Linked DNA regions of Neurospora crassa OR74A. The protein of the gene in region 2 interacts with the protein of the main gene of each other region in a biochemical or structural test. Links are inferred from orthologs where the notes say so. Each region holds a gene or a part of one and is shown on either strand. Other genes may lie near its edges.

Region 1 (4,003 bases), on a different chromosome or scaffold from region 2:
TTCTTTGGTGTTTGATGCCCACACCCCGATTCAACTTCTCGCCTCCGCTTTACTTCATTCTGGGGATTTCTTCACACCGATCTGGCCCCCACTGTTACCCCCTTCTGCTCTAGTTCGCCCGACGTATTTCGGCCATACTATTCTTCCACAAAGTCAAGAGATATCGTAGCCTCACGATGGACAGGTCACCGGCCAAACGTTTACTGCATAGTATCAACTCGACGACTTAGTGGATGAACCTCCCCCCTTGTCGTTTTATTCTTTTCCCCACGTCTTCACTGCTGCGTAACCCCCGCGCTTCGTTGAAGATTATGGAACCATTGAGATATGGTGCTTCAAGGTCCTTGTAAATGTTGCGGGAGGATCGTAGATGGGCACGCACCAAGTTGTCAGCTTGAAATGGGAGGTTTCCCCCCACGGCAACTGAGCCATCACAACATCCCACCTCGTTGGGTACCATCACATGGTATAATAGCCCGAGACTGAATGCTTCCTAGTCAAGACGTTCAGGAGATAGACCGGGGAGTCGAGTTTATGAGCCAAGCGAGTGCTGCGGTGTCTCTTATACTGTCTTTGCTCATGGTAACTGAGCACCTTAGCTGAACAAGGATTATTCCCTCTAAGTACAATCGCGCGAGATGCCCTCTGTGGTATCGCAGACAGTCGTTTTTTGTTGGTCAGTCTAAGCCAAGCACCCGAGAACCTTGAGGCATTGTACCCGCAAAACTCTGAAGACATCATCATGTGCCCATGTATTAAGAGCGACATGTCCTCCATGTCGCAGATACGTCGATAATGTCAGTTACCCAAATACCAGTAATCACGCTCAAACACAGAAAGCATGCTGCAAATACCTCAAAAAGAAAAAACCGTCAATAGACTCCAGGCGCCGCTTGTGGCCCCAATAATGCCTCAAAACGCCACAGACAAAGGTTTTACGCACCCCAAGCAAATCATGACAAAAATACCAACCCCGTTGAGTCTCATTCGGACGAGACATCTCCTTGAAAGCCCTTGAGCGTGTTACCGCCGCACTCCCGCGTGCAATACAACAAGGGGCTCGATCATATTGCCGCCCACGCGCTGCTAAGGGGCAAACATGATCCTTCATAAACCGCCACAGAGATCCTGAAACGGCCCTCGATACGGATGGCTTTCAGCATTGCCCAGAAGACTTGCTTCTTGACCGGGCCAGAGGCTTCATCAGCCGACCAGAACTGTTGATGTAAACCCAGGGTATACTCTAACTCGTGGCTTCACTAGGATTCTGTTGAGCGAGTACCTCGTAGTAGTTGAGCGAGTCCAAACCCTTCGTTTGGGAATGACCTTCTTGCATCTTGCAAGTCCCTTATGCTTGCAGACACCTGGAAAGGAAGAAACTGGTTAATAACAAACAGCACAACCACGCCGCTAAGACGTGGAAACTCACCCAAGGAAATCTCCGTTGATGCTGCCAATGGCATACATCTCACCCAATTCCGTTCTTAAGCCACCAATCTTGACGCGCACGTGCGTACCGGGCTCAATGACCATATCAGCGTTATTGGTAAACTGAGGAGGCGTCGCGTTGGGGTCGAAGTGGATTTCTTCGGGCATCAGCTATAGTTCTCTTGTCAGCGATCGAAGTTCGAGGGCATCGTATGTGCGTATCCAAAAAGACCGTAGGCGTCATCGTACGTGAGATGAAACGAAGATGGAGAGCGGGCCAGCTTGGCAGAAGAAGCCGTGAGGATTGATGGAAAAGACAATAGCATCCACCTGTAGGGACTCCTCGTTAGACCATCCGAACGGAGAGAACACCACCGAGAATCTTCGCTGTAACGAACCACTTCGCCTTTGAACGGCCTCCAAACCACAGCACGGTACTTCACAGTGAACTCGGCCAGGCCGTTTCCGGGGAGGATGCGGCCCTCGCTAACGTCGAACGCATCCATGATGGCAATGATGTAGTAATCACCGGCACACGTCCCTTCCACGTCCTTGACCAATTTGGTCGTGACAAGTTCGTGCATGTTCCTGCCGAAATAGGATGGATGCAGGGTAACCCGCCGCTCGAGGTTATGGAGGAAAAACATTGTGGCGGGTTAGTACTGTGGGATCGGGGTGTCGTCGGCTGAAAGTGGGCGTCGATAAGACGATGCCCTGGAGAGGTTATGCGCCTCGGGATGCCTTCGCGCGGCTGTCGTGTCGAGGGGTGCGACGGCGGCGGCAGTGCTGTCGAGACTTGGGCAATTGAAGTCGCGTGTCGGGACGAAAATGACAGTGAGGGCGAGATGCGAAAATCGACAGCAAGAATGTTGGTGTAGGGATCGTGTCGAAGGTGATACTTGGTTTTGTGGGGAGACGTCGTGACGGGAGAGCAAGGCTGACGGAATACACTAGATATCGACTATGATGGAACAAAAGCTTGGAGGTTCTGGAAGTGGTAGCCTCCAACACAGAGACCGCCGCAGACGCGGTTTCGGGACTTTGCCTTGCGAGCTTGGCCTGTCACTCGTCCCTTGACGTTTAGCACATGGCTCGTGCACAATCTGCAAGGAACAGCACTGACCACACGGAAGCGGTCTTGGCGCTGCCGGGATTCGGTGTTGTCCACAACTTCAACACCAAATATCCCAATTCCATCATATCATTCAACCAGACCAGGCATAAGATGCTCGTTGTAAGGCTTGTGAAATAATCTGCTGTACTATCATGTAGCGGGTTTTTCTTAAGGGAGTGTGTCTTCTACCAGCCCCCAGCGTTCCTTAGTCGTTCATGTAGCTGTAAGCTCGAGTAAAGGTACCATGGCTCATGCCGTTTCAACATGTGACAAAGACAGACTGTCGAATGATGTCTAAGAAGGAAGATTCGAATGGCCACAGCAAAGACAGTATGGTGGTTCGAGAAGCCAAAAGATGAGAACGCTCATAAACAAGACTTGAAACGGGTAACTCACGATTGATCACCTTTCTTACACCACAGCTGTTGGCCTTCCACTTTAGGTTGTGACGTTAACGTTCGTTGACCGAGAGGTAACCGCGTCGGTAGGAGCACCGACAGAGGCGGGGCACGTTCGGGTCCTGTCAGCATGCGTTTGATAGCGCTGTGGCCGTCGAGTTGGAGGGTTTGCGGGGGTGGGCCGGCCGGGAGCCTTAACAGGTTCCCTTGTTCCTGTTGATGGCGACTCCACAACCGAGGCATCCACACGTAGCTTTTAGCCCTCTGAGAATATGAAGATGGATATGCGGAGTGGAACACCAGACAGACTCCCACATCACCAGATCCCGCCGCTCTCTGGTCTTCATTAGCTGCACGCTCTGCTTTTCGAACACTACCAATTCCACCTGTTGCTCGTTTATACACATGTGGCAGTGATTCATTTCCTCTCTTCACTGGTCGCCCTCGACGCAACTCGACTTGTCATCTACTGTCGCTCTCCTGTCTCGGGTCTCACGGAACTGAGCGAGATCTCGCCATCCATTCACACCCTGAACCTCAAGGCTGTCTACAGCACCAACCTAATCATACCGGGCAAATCCGAAGCATCACTTTCACCATGTCCCTCAACCTAGAAAAGCAACTCACCTTTGTAAGCTTTGTTGCCTGAGTTTACCAAGCTCTAACCTACATGCTCCAAGTCGGCCTGCTCGGGCACCCTTGCTTGTTTCGTCCACTTCACCTCGCTCGAAATTCACGAACTGGAGCCTTTTGCTAACTTGTCCTCTCCCTGCTTGCAGTATGGTGCTTACCACTCTAATCACGTTAATGTAGTCATCCACATGATTTGTGTGCCTTTAATCCTCTTCTCAGCCTTTGAAATTGTATGAATTCTTGAACCACTTTCCCTCGTCCCTAGCGACATGTTCTCACACGCCTCATGCTTCCAAACTAGGCCTCCAATTATGGACCATTCTTCACACTCCCCTCCTGGCTTCAGGTACCGTACCTAGAGCCAAACCTGGGCACCTTTGCGGCTCTGACATGGGGCGGACTATACGTTCTCCTCGAGCCGGTCGCCGGC
Region 2 (4,288 bases):
CATTTCTCGGAGGGCGGCTCCTGACCCGGGCTCTCATGTCTACGGTTGGGGGGCGACCGTTGTCGGTACTCGGGAATACGCATATCCCGGTCTCTACCACGATCATCCGGATGGCCACGGGGCGGGGTGCTCCGCCCATAATCAAAGCGATCGTTACCGCGGGCTCGAGGCGACCCCCTGACATCCCAGCGCCGCGGCGAGCGTGAGCGAGAGCGACCCCGAGGCCTATTTGGAGACCTCATCCCATCATGATAGCCATTACGATCACGTGATTCATCATGTCTCACGGCCTCCCATGCAGGGGCAGCAGATACACCGCCAGCAGGGGGAGGAGGAGGATAGCCGGCATATAGAGGCTGAGCAACGGACTGGGGAGGTGCTGCCGGGGCGGTGCCACTTGGTTGACCCATCAGCTGCATTACACTGGCAATCTTGTCAAGAGGGATGCCCTGGGCGGCGAGGGCGGCGAACAGCTGAACCGTCGTAGCGGTATTCGCACTAGGGGCTGCTCCTGGCACTTGCACAGGCTGAGCTAGCTGTGCGGCCGGAGCTGGGAAGCCAAATGGCATCGTCGGTGGCATGTTCACCGACTGCCCCGCCGGCTGCGATGCTGATAAGTACGGCATACCCGGGTGCCCCACACCGGGAAGAAATCCGGCTGGCAATGCTCCATTGCTAGGCTGGCCAGAAGTAGCAAACATGGGATGCGGCGTGGAAGAAGTAACAGGAGGAATCTGCGGGACCCCCATTTGTACCGGAGAAGGGGCCACAGCCGCAGTTGCGGCCGGGGCGGGAGCAGGGGCGGCCGCGCTGGAATTACTCTGAGCCGCATTCGCATTCAAGCGGGCAAGATTTGCTAAGGTCTCCAGGATGTTGGACGGCATTACGGCGGTAGTTGTAGGCGTAGGGAGAGGTCTGCTAGTGGCCTGCAAGGAAGCCAGCGGGTTGGGAGGGGGACTGCCTGGTGGTGTTGTCGAGACATCTATCGGCACACGCTACAGTTAGATCAGGCAAACAACGAGCACCGCACACGCGTAAGGGAATATGCTTAGGAGGATCCGGGCAAAACCTACTGTGCTGTTGATGAGCATTCAGCTTCTCCTTGAAGGTGTTGACCATATCGGGAGGAAACGTCTGGCCCTTTTCCCATATGTCGACCAGCTTCTTGATCTTCTCCTACAAGACGATACGGGTGTGAGTTTATGAACAACATGATACTGGACACTAAATACAACCAAAAATGGATGCACGATATGGTCTAGGAAAGTGAAGACGACTGGTGTGGCCTGATCTTACAGCCGCTCCCAAGTGTGCTCGGGGTCTAGTCCGTTTGGCAGAAATGGAGGTATAAGTGTAAGACGGCACATGAGTGTGCGGTTGTGTGCGTACCTTTTGATCCTCGGGGGCCGAAGAGATGATGGCGTTCATGAACATGGGCATTAGTTCAGTCACTCTATGGACACCGGCAGCATAGGTGCCATCCTGTGCACCAAGGGTGACGGGTTGTTCAAGGGCCTTTGCCTTCTCCAACCATTTGCGGGTTACAGAATCTACGACGTATAGGACGCCCAGCTTGTGAGTGTTTGGTGTCTTCTTGTAGTGGGTATATAACTTCTGAACCAGCTGTGATTCGTACTGTCGAAGGATGTGTGGTTAGCTCTGGTGCCTCCATCGTGCATACTGTCGAGCCCAGACACGGCGCTTTTCTTACCTGGACGTTGTTCAAACACAGCATGGTGAGGCTATTGATTTTCGAGCCAGAGACACCGGGCGGTTTCAGGTTTTGCATGTCCCCGAGGCCCTTCTCTAGTTCAGCTACGGCCGCCTGTGACGACAACATGATGGATGATTTTTGTTTGAAAATCGAGCAAGACCAGCTGAAGTCGGCAATCAACTTGGCCGTTGGGCTTGGAAATACAAGCTGCGATGTAGTACGGTTGTGATACGGTGAAGGCTGATTAAAGGTTTTATGCCAATACCATGCTCCTTTGTCACGGGTGGAAAGACGGAGTACGTTGATTAAGGCTCAAACAGGTCGGCATCCAAGGTCTGCTTTCCTTGCTTCTCGACGTATATCACCGAGGTTACGAAGCTGCAATTTGCCCGCGCCACCGGGTACTCAGAAGAGAGCAGCTTGTACGAAGAGACTGTCCTTTCTGTGCGTCTTAAGACAAGCGCAGAAGCCGTAGGCCAGTGCAAAGTCCTAGCAAAAAAAAGAGAAGCCGAGAGGCCAGAGATATATGTTGCTGGCCGGCGTGTGTGCGAGCAAGAATACGGTGGTCCTTTTTATTTTTCTGACGTGACGCGCGAAGTGGAAACCACCAACTGGGGATAGCTGTGACGACGTGCAAGAACCGCAACGAAAGCAGCTGTACGAAGGGCAGACAAGATCAGGACTTGACCTGCGCGGATGTGATCTGGGCGCACCCTTTTACTGTGAGGCTACTAGAAAGTGAGAAAATCCAGGTGAGCGTGTGCTGAGTCGAGATGCATGGACAAATCCTGGGCGACTAGTCGATTACTGGATTGCTGGATTGACGAAGGCGGTCTCCGTTGGCGTTTAAGATTATTTTCGCTGATGACGACAAAAGCGTGATGTGGTGGTGATGCGAGAAGTGAGGAGGGAGTTGGGGTTGGAAAGCGGGGAGAAAGAAAAGTTGTCGTTGCAGAAGTAGAAGAAGTGGACTGGACGGGGGAGTGCCAGTGGTCGGTGGTTGGTGCAGGTATGGGTGGGTACTCGGCTGTAGTGGCTGCCCTGATCTTGACTCTGCTCGAGTCGTCTGTCGGGTTCGATTGCATCCGTTCGTCGCTTCGGTTTGCCTGCCCTGCTGCCTGTGTGCTGTGCTGCTGTGGCACCGTGGCTGTGATGCGTGGCCCGAGGGGAGGAACGAACTGGCAGGCACTTTTTCGAGCCACCCAATCACGCCTTGATTGGTTCGAATGACCCGCCTCGAACTGTTGTGACTGAAGGCTCGGAAAACCTTCTTTTTACAAGCAAACGAAAGCCTTGCAGAGAGGTGTCGGACGTGTTGTGGCCTGACGCACGTACCAAGAGCATGAGGCACTAAGGCAACAAAGCCGAGACGGATTGCGGTAAATTAGGAACCCCAACCGTTGATCCACATCCAACCTGAGATTGGATGAAGCCCTTACTGGAGTCGGTTGCGTGCTCCATCCGACTCTCCATGCAACCCCGAAGGTTCCACGAACATTGATGATGAGCGTTGAGTGTCGAGGACGTGCTAGGGAACAGATTGTGCAGGCGGGTTCATCTATTATCAATCCGTCCATCAATTGGCAATTCCAACATTGTTTTCTGGAAACCCGGAGCAGGAACGTTTCCACACCTGTCAAAAGGGGCGGCTTCCCCGGATGAGTTAGGGATCTCGCAAGGGCCAAGTACATACCTAGGTAGTCCCAAAGGCCCAAAGGGTGCCGTGACGTCAATGCATGCCGGTGTCGACATCGATGCGAGTGAACAAGCAGTTTTGACATCGCGATGTTGAGGTCTGGTCTGACAACCGCTGTCCCTCGAGACACATGCGATTGCAGAGACGCGCACATGATGTCGGTGCCGCAAGTGTTCAGCGTGGTCGTGTCCAGGTATTCTTCCGGTCTTCCGTCGTCGGCCATCCTTTTACCGCGCGCATGGACGGGAGGAGACTTGGGAACCGAAACACACGTGTGGGAGCCGCCCCGCGTTCGATCCTTAGAACGGCGTCAGCGACCCCCTGACCCGCTCGAGCTCGGCAGCTCGGCCAAGCTACCTCCACGTACATCCGGATAGAAACATTGAACCTTTGGCCCGCAGAGTTCCATGTTCAGCTTCATGATCCAAATTGACCACATTCAGGGCCGGATATTGTATCCATCAAAAAACGGAGATTTGGCGCCGGCCTCTACGGTGATTACGGTGTGGGCTTCTCCAGTCTCATACTCGCGGATTCGCGAGGGAAGAGGAGCATCTGCCTGTCTACGAGTCGGCCATTGTGGATCAAGCAGCGTGTCGTGTCACGAGCATCGCGGCCCGGTGTATTGTACAATACAACAACTTCGTGAGAGAACTGGCCCGAACACCCCGGTCCACTGGCCCGAGCAGAGTGGGAGCCCCGCCTATTTGCTCCCGCCCGTGAACATTATTGGATCCAATTGGCACTGGCAATTGCGGGCAATTCGCATCCAGTCGGGGCAGGCCAATCCCCCGGCAGGAGCGACGGGAGCAGAGCCCGCCAAAGCCACCTAACGGACCTCTGGACCTGCCCTGGTTCGCTGGTTGCGACGGCAGGTC

Evidence for each region.
Region 1: the proteins of NCU01695 (region 2) and NCU02661 form a complex in vitro, tested with the Schizosaccharomyces pombe proteins (2 studies listed by BioGRID). The link is inferred for Neurospora crassa OR74A from reciprocal best matches to the Schizosaccharomyces pombe genes seb1 and rpb7.

The regions. Positions count from the first base shown.
Region 1 is NC_026501.1:3,099,547-3,103,549, reverse strand, and holds NCU02661 (DNA-directed RNA polymerase II polypeptide), read right to left. Parts: upstream 2,649-4,003; 5' UTR 2,076-2,648; coding exon 1,827-2,075; intron 1,759-1,826; coding exon 1,678-1,758; intron 1,600-1,677; coding exon 1,430-1,599; intron 1,365-1,429; coding exon 1,349-1,364; 3' UTR 504-1,348; downstream 1-503. Other genes in the region: NCU02660 (DUF962 domain-containing protein), read left to right, coding at 3,539-3,571, 3,720-3,803, 3,875-4,003.
Region 2 is NC_026502.1:2,700,353-2,704,640, forward strand, and holds the start of NCU01695 (RNA binding protein Nrd1), read right to left. Parts: upstream 2,804-4,288; 5' UTR 1,841-2,803; coding exon 1,712-1,840; intron 1,636-1,711; coding exon 1,390-1,635; intron 1,177-1,389; coding exon 1,074-1,176; intron 983-1,073; coding exon 1-982. UniProt on the Schizosaccharomyces pombe protein: Involved in the processing of pol II transcripts.